Schizosaccharomyces pombe: one gene and its partner. The protein of the gene in region 1 interacts with the protein of each later gene in a biochemical or structural test. Each region holds a gene or a part of one and is shown in the gene's direction. Other genes may lie near its edges.

Region 1 (6,860 bases):
AGGAATTTGATTTAGCTGCGTTCTTCTCGAAATCAGAAACTGATTAGTACAATATTAAGTCTTTTATCCCACGATATACTTTTCTAATAAAATAAATATTCTTATAAAACTTTTCTAAAAGTACTGATTTTCTATAATATTATACTGATTTAAGACTTGGAAGAATTCTATATAGCGCAATAGAACGTGGTACGGCTTCTTACACTTTTATCTGCGGCGAATCAATGAGTTGACATTCAAGCTCAAAATTGCCTTATTATAAACACTTTACAATATCCATATTCAAGATGAATTCGATGTTTAGATTTTGGATTCCTAAAACCAGTATATCCATGCAACTTCGCATGCTGTCCACACAAACTCGTCAAGCTCTTGAACAGGCCGTCAAAGAGGATCCTATCGTTTTATTCATGAAAGGTACACCTACCCGCCCAATGTGTGGATTTTCATTAAAGGCGATTCAAATTCTTTCATTAGAAAACGTTGCTTCCGATAAATTAGTTACGTACAACGTTTTGAGTAATGATGAGCTACGTGAAGGTATAAAGGAGTTCAGCGACTGGCCTACGATTCCTCAACTTTATATTAACGGAGAATTCGTGGGCGGTAGTGATATCTTGGCGTCCATGCATAAATCGTAAGTAATGTTTTAAACTGTATTTTTATTATTTGGTAGAGAGACGGTGAGGATTGAGGAGGTGTCATAGGAAATGTTAAAGATGATGAAGGAGGATTCTACAACTGTTTAATCACTCTAGTTGATATTAAAGATAAAAAAACCCTGTTATATTTTCGCTCTTTCTTCAAATGAACTTTCCCTTTTAAAGCATTGGATAAAAATCAACTATTAGTGTATCAGTGTCTTTAATTCGTCGTCTATATATGCCACATTGTTCTCTCCCTCATTTTTTCTCTCATATTTAATTATTTCTCCTTGTCAACATTTCTGTATTAACAATTTGTCTGTAGAGGAGAGCTTCACAAAATTCTAAAAGAAATAAATGCTTTGGCCCCTGAACAGCCAAAGGATAGTGAAGAGGAAACTACTAAAAAGGATTGAGTCCACATTGCAAATTAATTTGCACAACGTACCACGGTCTTGTGCATTTTTTAGTTTATTGGTCAACTTGACACCACAGGCCATGTATATCAATCAGACGTTATTCAATTATCTTTTTGCTGTACGCTTGATATTCTTTAATGAAGCTTTGAAATTCTGTTTCTCCTCTTTTTTGTGTTCATGCCCTTTCATGACAAAATGTTGGAAATAATGTAAAAGAGCTCTATAAGAAAAAATAATTTTTATCGGAAGTTATTTTTTGGATCAACCTCAATATCAATTTGAAAGCGATCATGTTCATGTTCATGTCCATCCAAATGACATAGAGAATGGAAATTAGTGTCGTGATTTATGCCTTATTGTTATTCCTTGACTTTTTTTTTAAAAAAAATGTCGTAAATTAGATTTAATGTTAAAGCGCTATTGCTGAATACTGTTTTATTTTGCTTATGTTGTTGCACAGAACAATGTCTTGGTAGGTGTAATTCACAGAAAGCATTACGATTGGTTATCTGATATGATTTAAAAATTCTTCTTTGATTATATAAAGTACTGGCTTATCGACGTTACGAGACGTTTACCAAACTTTTATTAACAGATGCTTGTGTTTCTTGACAAACAACATTATTCCTTCCAAGCTCAGCATATAGCGAATTATAGTGTAACTGCGATATAAAGTATTAGCGAACTCTCCCTTTTTAATTCTATTCAAATTGCGTTAGTTTGTGTAGCATGTAATGACGGCACGCGCATAGTGAATTGTAATATACAAAACGCTACACCAAAGCGCGCGCTCTAAAACACGCCAAAACGAGGTGCACGCAACTTAGCTTGCGCGAAAGCGCGTTTCTCGCGTCGCGTCGCGTTTACTTCTTTTATATGCTTGCTATGCCTGTCTTTTGCTTTTTCACTGACACTTTGACTTGTGTTGAGTTACAAGAAAGGCTTCAAAGGCACTTGTACAAGTGTAATTTCCCTTTTACAAGACTCTACCAAAGGTTGGATCCACCTTGAAGTCCTTCTCTTGTTGTCGCTGCTTTTTGCGTTTCTTCTTTTCTCTTTGAATATTCCTTCTTTCTAATTTCTTTTTTCAAATACATGCTATAGGGATCAGTTTAGGCTCCATATACTAGGTTGAGCTGGTTTTAACTGTAAACAATAGTAAATTAAGCTTTCAGTATTTTGAGTGTCAAGCTAGTTTTTACTCCGGAGTATCTTATTTCTACTGTACTTATTTTCTTTTAATTAATTTTTTACACTTTTCAGCTGCTAAGTGTCGGTTTCTATTGTGTACTTTACCGTTTTAAGTTTCTTTGTTTTCTTTGTTCTGGTTCGCTTATTGTCCTACTCTTTTACAGGAGGCGCTTGCCAAAGACAGTCATTTCTCTTATAACAAGTACACTATATCTTATTAAAACATAATTAATCGTCCCCTTTCGATATTAGTGCAACAATTGCTATCCTACAGTCTTCCCAATTGCAATTTATTTAGCCTTTCAGCATTGCTCTCGCCCTCAAGCTGAAAAGGTTTTACTCGCTTTTCTTGCTGGAAAAATAACACCTACATTTGTTATTCTTTTAAATTCGAACTATCAAACTTATTTGCTTGTATTGTTCGTCTTAGTGCTGCTTTTTCTGATCCATCGTTTGTTTATCAAACCTTCAACTTTGCTTTTTCTAAACTAATTACAAAGAAGTGTTCTTTTTAATTCTCTTCGTTAATCATTGTCCCTTTAAACTACGCTCTTGTGCTTTATAAGAGTTAATTCTGCATACCTCAAAGAGGTAAATTCATTTTCGAATCGAACGTTAAAAAATTTATCTTTACTTTTTTTTCTTTCTCAATTTTGATTACATCTGCTTGTTTTTTTTTTTCGTTTATATCCACAACAGTAGGTTGGTTTGGTTTGTTTACACAATTCATTTGTTTATGTTTGGACGATTTCTTTCCCTTTCTTCCTATCAACAACAATAGAATAATTCGGACCCATTGATTTATTCTCATTTAAAAGAGAAACTTTAAAAATTCGCTATAAGTGCTTTCTGTTTCTCGATCGCTCAATTTCCCTAATTTATCCATCTTGTCAATTGAGATTAATTTACCAAAAACAGTTTCCTTATTTTAATAAAAAGAAGACATTTTTGGTTACAAACAATCAGATATATTTCTATACGTTGATAAAAGGGTAATTTATCAATCCATATTTCATATGGCTCTCTATTCAATTTCAAAGCCTGTTGGTTCTAAAATCAATAAGCATAGTTATCAAGATGAAAACACACTTGTTGGCAAACAAGCTTTATCAAAAGGGACTGAGAAGACAAAATTATCTACAAATTTTGAAATTAATCTGCCACGTCGAACTGTCCTATCTGATGTTTCCAATGTAGGTAAAAATAATGCTGATGAGAAGGATACGAAAAAAGCGAAAAGATCGTTCGATGAATCTAATTTATCTACAAATGAAGAAGCTGATAAACCTGTCGAATCTAAATTCGTGAAAAAGTTGAAAGTTTATAGCAAAAATGCGGATCCATCTGTAGAAACTTTACAAAAGGACAGAGTCTCTAATGTTGATGATCATTTATCCTCCAATCCTTTGATGGCTGAGGAATACGCACCCGAAATATTTGAGTACATCAGAAAGCTGGATTTAAAGTGTCTTCCCAATCCAAAATATATGGACCAACAAAAAGAATTAACCTGGAAAATGAGGGAAATTTTGAATGAATGGTTGGTGGAAATACATTCCAACTTTTGTTTAATGCCCGAAACCCTTTATTTGGCAGTCAATATAATTGATCGATTCTTGTCGCGTCGTTCATGCTCTTTGTCTAAATTTCAATTAACAGGCATTACTGCTCTTCTCATCGCTAGCAAATATGAGGAGGTTATGTGTCCTTCGATACAAAACTTTGTTTACATGACTGATGGTGCTTTTACCGTAGAAGATGTCTGTGTCGCTGAACGTTATATGTTAAATGTTCTCAATTTTGACTTGTCCTATCCAAGTCCTTTAAATTTTCTTCGCAAAATATCTCAAGCAGAAGGTTATGATGCACAAACAAGGACATTGGGGAAATACCTAACAGAAATTTATCTGTTTGACCACGATTTATTACGATATCCTATGTCTAAAATTGCTGCTGCCGCAATGTATTTGAGCCGCCGATTATTGCGTCGCGGCCCATGGACGCCAAAGTTAGTTGAAAGCTCTGGTGGGTATGAAGAGCATGAATTAAAGGAGATAGCGTATATTATGCTTCATTATCATAACAAGCCTCTAGAACACAAAGCCTTTTTCCAAAAATACTCCTCAAAAAGGTTCCTGAAGGCTAGTATTTTTGTTCATCAACTCGTCCGTCAACGATACTCAGTCAATCGTACGGACGATGATGACCTTCAATCAGAACCGTCTTCTTCTTTAACAAATGATGGTCACTAACGAACGCTCTTATAAATTTTCTTACGCAAATATTCTGTTGAATATGAGGTTGAGCTCTTCTTTTATTATTTATTATCATAACTTATTTACTTTTTAAAGAGCTTCTTTTTCTTCTTCTCTTTCTTTGAATCTTATCATCTTTATGCAAGGACTGTTTTCAAGTATGTCATCAAGCCTTTCCTCCTTGATAACTAAGTCCTTAATTATATACCATATACCCAAGTTTTATCCAAGAGTTTTAGAATTGAAAATTTTGTAGTCTACTAAACAAACCGTGTTGATGCTTAATCCTCACACATTGTCTTTTAGATGATTCCGTTGATTCTAGAGTATTCGATAATTTCATTCCTTACTTTATGTTACGTTTACATTTTTTATTTCAAAATACGTGTACGTTGTTTCCTCATATTTCTGTTAAACAACATGTTTCTAATTAATGGAGTTTTCTTTATTCATTCATAAAACTTAAAGCTCAAGCGGTATATAACAAACTGGCTAAACCATTAATAGGCAAAAACCAAGTAACTCATAAAGATAAACAAAGAAAGTAGACATAAGGAAAAAGGTAAAGCTGACTCGTTTTCTATACAAAAAGGGAATTTTTAAACCTAAGAAACAAACTTTTAATTGATAACAAATATAGAAAAAGAAGGCGATTTCCAACGAGAATAAGGAAATAAAAAAGAAAAATTCGATAATAGAATCACTGTTATTCTGTCTCATACATTCGTCTTAAATTAATGAACATTTGAGCTTTTTTTATCGAGAGCTTGGCGATTGTGAGAAATCCAAATGTCATGCCCACCTAATCGTCCGCTGGCTTCACTAACAAGTGTTGAGATAGGAATCATTAAAGCTACGCTAGTAGCTGAAGAAACAGAAGGTGAACGGATCTTCATAAATCTCTGTTTTACACGGGGACGAAGACGTTCAGGAAGCGCTTCCATCTGTTTATCAAATTTGGAGTTGTTGAGTAGGTGGCGTATCCTTCCTCCTCTAATGCGTTGAACGAAGCCAAGGGAATGACGAATAGAGTCAATAACTTCGTTGGGAGATGTGGGTTCATACGGGATAAGACTAAGGGATTCAACATCATGATCGGTTGAACGGCGCTTAGAACGGAACCTAGGATTTAGAATCCAAGAGAAAACAGTGTCAATTGTCTTAACCGGAAGGACCTTTCTTAGGAAATTGTTTGGTACACAACGAATCAAGGCTCCAAGTGGGATAGAGATAACACCAAACACGATGGAAATCGCCCATCCTTTACCATCGATTCTTTTTACGGAGAATGCGGCACCTCCGAAAAAAACAATTATAACTTGGATACCAGCAACAATAACGAAAATAGCAATAAAGAGGAAGTTATGGTTAATACGTTCAAAAATATTGAGCTTGTTATCCAATCTCCGATTGTTAATTTCGTTAAACAGCTGGAGCCAGACAAAGGTATTGAAAACAATAGTATTCATGTCCGCAGTATTGGAAGGGTAATGGAAGATACTATTACCAGCAAAGTGTAGCACCAAAGTAACAGCAAGTTGGTACATAGATTGACAAATAATCATTTTCCACATGTCAAAAGTAAAAAGCGATGCACCTGGTTTCTCAGGTTTCCTCTTTAACACTTCAGGAGTAGGAGGGTCAGTGGCAAGTGCAAGAGCAGCAAGTGTATCCATAATTAAATTAACCCACAAAAGCTGAACAGCAGTTAAAACAGAGCTTTGGTCAGTCGAGGCAACAGCAGAGATAATAGTCAAGAAAACAGCCGTAATATTCACGGTAATTTGAAATTGCAGGAATTTTTTTACAGCGTCGTTAACGGTTCTTCCCCAAGCAATTGCTTTCACAATTGACGAGAAGTTGTCGTCCATAAGGATAATATCGGACGCCTCCTTGGCAACTTCGGTTCCCGATTTACCCATTGAAAAGCCGACGTTAGCTTTTTTTAGTGCAGGCGCATCATTGGTACCATCACCTGTAACCGCTACTACGTTACCAAGCTTCTGCAGTCCTTCAATCAATAACTGTTTGTCCAAAGGAGATGAGCGTGCAAGTACATCTAATTTGGGTAAGATTTCTAAGCGTTTCTCATCAGAAAGAGATCGAAATTCCGGTCCTTCCATGGATATTCCATCCTCTGTGTAAATTCCGCACTGCGAAGCAATAGCCTTAGCAGTAACAATATTATCACCAGTAACCATACGAACAGTCACCCCTGCACCTTGGCAAACCTTTACAGCCAAAGGTACATCTGGCCGAATAGGGTCCATGATACCGAAAAATCCTAAGAAAGTCATGTCTGTAAATGCGTCTTCCCATTTCAAAGGATTAGAACTATCCTCGTCATTGGT
Region 2 (5,109 bases), on another chromosome or scaffold:
TTTTGATCATCAGGAAAAGAGGAGCAGTCGTATACGCCGTCAGGAAAACCACCGTCTCTTTTTGAAAAAGCGGTAGTGTTTGTGACATTGACACCAACAGTTATATTGCTAGCATTCAAACCGGCATGATGGTGATGGTGATAGGGAGCATTACCAAGAGGCATAGCTGAAACCAAAGGAATGGCGGAAACCGCAAAACAAAGAAAGTTGTTAAAGAGCATTTTTAGATTTAAAAGATTTGACAGGAATCTAACGATTGACTTTATAAACGATAGGATATGCTAGTAACTTGATACTAGAAAATAAAAGAAAGATGGTAAAGAATATAATGGTCTTTACCTTTTGCGGTTCTGATTGTTTAATTTCAGCTCACGGCTTTTCCCTAAAAATCAGCTCAGCTTTATATACATTTCTTTTTTCAAGCACTTCACCATCTTTTGATTAAGAGCCGTGGCGTTTTGCCACTAATTAACCATGAAAGCCTGTAAGTTTTCAACGTTGATTTTTTCAGAAAATTTCTAACCATAAACCCGAAATAATTAGCGCCAAAACAGTCAACTATTGCGCTCCAATCATTGCTTGCCTTGCTATCGGCTTTGTATTCATTGGCTGATAACTTAATTAAAAATGAACTTAAAAGTCAGTTGATAAATTCAACCAATTAAATGCGTGAATTTGATCTACCCCAGGAAAATTTATACTGTCCCGGGGTCGCGGGGCGTTCAATCATTCATTTCAAAGCAAATTATTATTATTTCCAAGCCAAGTAATTTAATTTTTGTTTATCGCTTTAGCTTTCTTATCATAAGGAAGTTCTTGGTCCCCTGGGCCTTTTGCAATTGAATTGCGCGGTGTACGTAAGCCTAATGACATCCCTGTATACCTAACTTACAAATACGTTGGCTCGACTCAACGTTATATTGATTTTCTCCTAATACTATTAAATATATTTAATAATCTCTTGGGAAAGTAATCTGGTACATACAAATCATCCTAGATATAAGAGGCTCGGTGCATTTCGGCAAATGATGTTCTGCAGCTCATTAAATATGATATAATATTAATTAATTAATATCGTGTTTACACTCGGTTTATCGGTTTGCTATGCTAAGAACTTTTACGGATAACAATTTAATTATTTATCTTGGTAGCGTATTTGACGCTTCTTTGGATACTGAGATTAAGTCAAATTTTGAATGGAGAGAAGTCGAATAATAGCCCAATGCCTGCCGAAATTACCCGATGCATGTCATTGACGAGACAAAAAATTTCTTTCAACGGCCTAAGAAAATGATGTACTAGAAACGCCATCTTAGTCTGACATTTTACATTTTACGCTCATGCTCAAATTTTATTAATAAATTATTATATGTGTCCGTGTCATTTAGAATATGACAGGGGAGGGTAATCTCTTTCCCAACTTTATTGGCGTGTAATGAAATTCGCGAGCTACTATTGTGTCTGCATTCTTTAGCTGCAAAAACGCAACGGAAAAGACAATTTTATAATATGAATACTTCACGTGTTCATTGTTTTTGTCTTTAGAGAATTTATTTGAAAATGCTGAGGAGGTTAATATCTGGTATACAATTAAAACACTATCGCAAATAATGTAAAAAAAAATAATATTGAGGAGCCATAACTAAGTCATATAACTTTTCTTATTGAACTATTGTTATGTCGCGATTTAGTCGTATTTACCATAAACTATAAAAACTTTTCTTAATCAACAGTAAAATTGTTACTTATTCTGGTGTTACTTACACCTCCGCTTGCGTAGAGTGAATTTAAAATTCATTGCCAAGAGTTTATGGTCTTTACGATCTATCTCGCTGAACTTCAAAAAAACCAAGAAAAAGTATTGCTCTAATGCATTAAGACGATAACTATTTGCAAAATAATTTCATATACATGTTTCCCAACGGGCAGTTGTTTTAAGTAAATTCATCAGTATCGATTCTTGAACCAGGTTCTCTAACATCATAAAAGAACTTGACAAATACTTTTCTACTAAGTGTCTGTAAACTACTTGAAATGAATGAGAAGAAAAAAGATAGCCTATCTGTTTTAGATTCCAATGAATTTTTCGGTGAGACAACTATGGTATCACCGAGTATTGATGTTTCCTCTTCTCCCCGGCCAAATGTCGAGAGATTTTCTCCATGTTCCACTAAAAAAGATCTCCTGGAAGGAAATAATATAATGACCAGAATTCCCGAGGAGCTTAGTCGTGTTAGTCTACAATTTGATAGCAAGGGAAGTCAGCAATCGATGATATTTACTAACAATCGATGTTTATCTGATAAAGAAAATTTGGAAAACTTGCAAAATCTTTTATATCTACATTGTGATCTTAACCGGCCCCATTTGAGTTGTGAGCTGCCGTCAGAGCATCGCGAAAAGTGCCTTAAACGCCGTAACTCTAGTCTCAGCTCTAATTTGCATGCTAATAAGCGGTTTCTCTTCAATTCTCAAAGTGATGGGAATAAAAAGAATGAAACTTTTCCTTCTACTAACTACTCGAACGTTTTCTACCCAAACAACTGTGACAGTAAGGAAGTCGCTAGTGAAACAACATTCTCACTTGATGCACCAAATAATTCTGTTAATTACTCTTATTTTTCTCCTAATTTACTCGGCAACGATTCCAAAACCCGTCAATCTTTTCCCCCTCATTCATCTTCATCTTCACATAATTCTTTGCATGAACCTGTCATATATGATTTTTCTTCAGAAAATCCTAGCATTCATCCTTCTAATCATTTGAGCTCTCAAAAAAATGCTGTTTTGAAATTAGCACAATTAATTTCTTCCTTCGAAAAATTACCCGAAAGTGTTCGTCAATACTTACTTTTTCATCTTCTTTCTCGATGTGGAAAACATGCTGTTCAAAATATTCACAAAATTCTGCTTCCTATCTTTCAAAAGAACTTTTTAACTGGATTTCCGGCTGAGATTACAAATTTAGTGCTTACGCATTTAGATGCACCTTCATTGTGTGCAGTTTCGCAAGTTTCGCATCACTGGTATAAGTTGGTATCGTCCAACGAAGAACTTTGGAAAAGTCTCTTTTTAAAAGATGGTTTCTTTTGGGATTCAATTGATAGTAAAATCCGTACGATGTGTTTAGAACAATCTTTGTCAGCCTGTGCGATAATGAAGCGGGTCTATTTTAGACATTTTAATCTTCGTGAAAGATGGCTCCATGCCCCGGAGAAAATTAAGCGATGTTCATTCCCAATTCATGGAGTTCGTCTTATTACCAAACTTCAGTTTGATGATGACAAAATAATTGTTAGCACCTGCAGTCCTAGAATTAATATATATGACACGAAAACAGGTGTCCTGATACGCAGTTTAGAAGAGCATGAAGGTGATGTTTGGACTTTTGAATACGTTGGGGATACTTTGGTTACTGGCTCCACAGACAGGACAGTAAGAGTCTGGGACCTTAGAACCGGTGAATGTAAACAGGTGTTTTATGGACACACGTCAACAATCCGTTGTATCAAAATAGTTCAAGGCAATCAAAGTACTACTGATACTGATGATGTGGAAAAAGAAAACAGACCAGCTTCAAATGATGCTAATTCAATGCCTCCGTATATAATTTCAAGTTCAAGGGATTGTACGATCCGTTTATGGAGTCTTCCATGCCTTGACGATCCACCATTTGTTAATGTAAATGAAAATCCTGATCAGAATAATGACTTTACTTCAGCTACGACCAATCCGTTTTACATCCGAACATTACGTGGTCATACGGACTCGGTACGTGAAGTTGCTTGTCTTGGAGATTTGATTGTCAGTGCCAGTTATGATGGTACTCTTAGAGTATGGAAGGCATCTACTGGCGTTTGTTTACATGTTCTTCGGGGACACGTCGGGAGAGTATACAGTGTCACAATTAATCCTTCTCGTCAACAATGTATCAGCGCTGGTACGGATGCTAAAATTCGTATTTGGAACCTTGAGTCTGGAGAACTTCTACAGACCCTTCATGGTCATTCGAATTTGGTAAGTCAAGTTACATTTAACCAAAATATCTTGGTATCCGCTTCTGCTCCTCCTGATACATCGTTGAGAGTTTGGGATCTAAACACCGGAAGTTGTCGAGATATTTTAAAATGTCCTTTGGGACACATATTTTTTCAACACGACGAGAGCAAAGTTGTCAGTGGAAGCCATAGTACGCTACAGTTATGGGACATTCGTTCCGGAAAGTTAGTAAGAGACCTATTGACTGATTTGGATATAATCTGGCAAGTTGCTTATAATGAAAATGTATGTGTGGCTGCTGTTTTAAGAAATAACCGTTTTTGGATCGAGGTCCTAGAGTTTGGATCTACTAAATCTTCTTGAGCTTTTATAAGTTGAGATACTAGAAATCTATAAAAGATCTCGAAATTTTATTTTACGTTTCCAAACTGAAATAGATTCATGCTATTTATTCTGGAAACTCCTCTATCATATAATATTTGTCTAATTGTTTGTTGACTTTTAAATGTTTACTCATAATTTTCTTTTTTAAATATCTAATAAGAATGCAAAATAATATTTTTTTAAATGATCTATTCTACATTTATAAATTATTTAGTGTTAAATTCGTTTGTTGAGGCCAAAATTTTTTTACCAAAGGGATAAGCGAATTTCTTGAATCCTTAGCTTCAAATAGCGTCCATTCTACCCAAAAGCGTACTATATTTTTATAATTAGCAAACTATAGTAAATAAAAAAACAAACATTTTAGCTTTGTAAATGTAAAAAGACATTTAATTTAACAAAAGGCTTTTACATTACTTCATAAGCTACCAAATGTCTTCATCGTAAAACATGCTTTTCGCATTCCATTTATCTATGTAAGCCATTTTAGTGTAGTTTAAAGTGTTGGAAAACCACAGGTGGGACTGTAATATACGTACACTTAAGACGCGTTCGACGCGTTCACAAAATTACCATATATAGATATCAACTTATCAAATACCCTTTACTTCTAAGTATAAATGACAAATGAATTCATACAAAGAGGAAATTCTGCAAACTAAGTCTGACTTTACTCTTAAAAATTTAATTTTCTTCGCGATATCAACATTATGCTATAAGCGGTAC

The links.
Region 2: the proteins of cig2 (region 1) and pop1 form a complex in vitro, tested with the Schizosaccharomyces pombe proteins (one study listed by BioGRID).

Annotation. Positions count from the first base shown.
Region 1 is NC_003424.3:2,707,810-2,714,669, forward strand, and holds cig2 (G1/S-specific B-type cyclin Cig2), read left to right. Parts: upstream 1-1,972; 5' UTR 1,973-3,270; coding exon 3,271-4,506; 3' UTR 4,507-5,243; downstream 5,244-6,860. Other genes in the region: mitochondrial [2Fe-2S] cluster assembly and transfer glutaredoxin Grx5, read left to right, coding at 288-637, 970-1,060; P2 type calcium transporting P-type ATPase Pmc1, read right to left, coding at 5,244-6,860. UniProt on the Schizosaccharomyces pombe protein: Essential for the control of the cell cycle at the G2/M and G1/S (mitosis) transition. Interacts with the cdc2 protein kinase to form MPF. Interaction with res2 promotes the phosphorylation of res1 and inhibits MBF-dependent gene transcription.
Region 2 is NC_003423.3:3,467,309-3,472,417, forward strand, and holds pop1 (cullin 1 adaptor protein Pop1), read left to right. Parts: upstream 1-1,819; 5' UTR 1,820-2,034; coding exon 2,035-4,362; 3' UTR 4,363-4,577; downstream 4,578-5,109. Other genes in the region: beta-glucosidase Psu2, read right to left, coding at 1-221; synaptonemal complex-associated protein hop1, read left to right, coding at 5,011-5,105.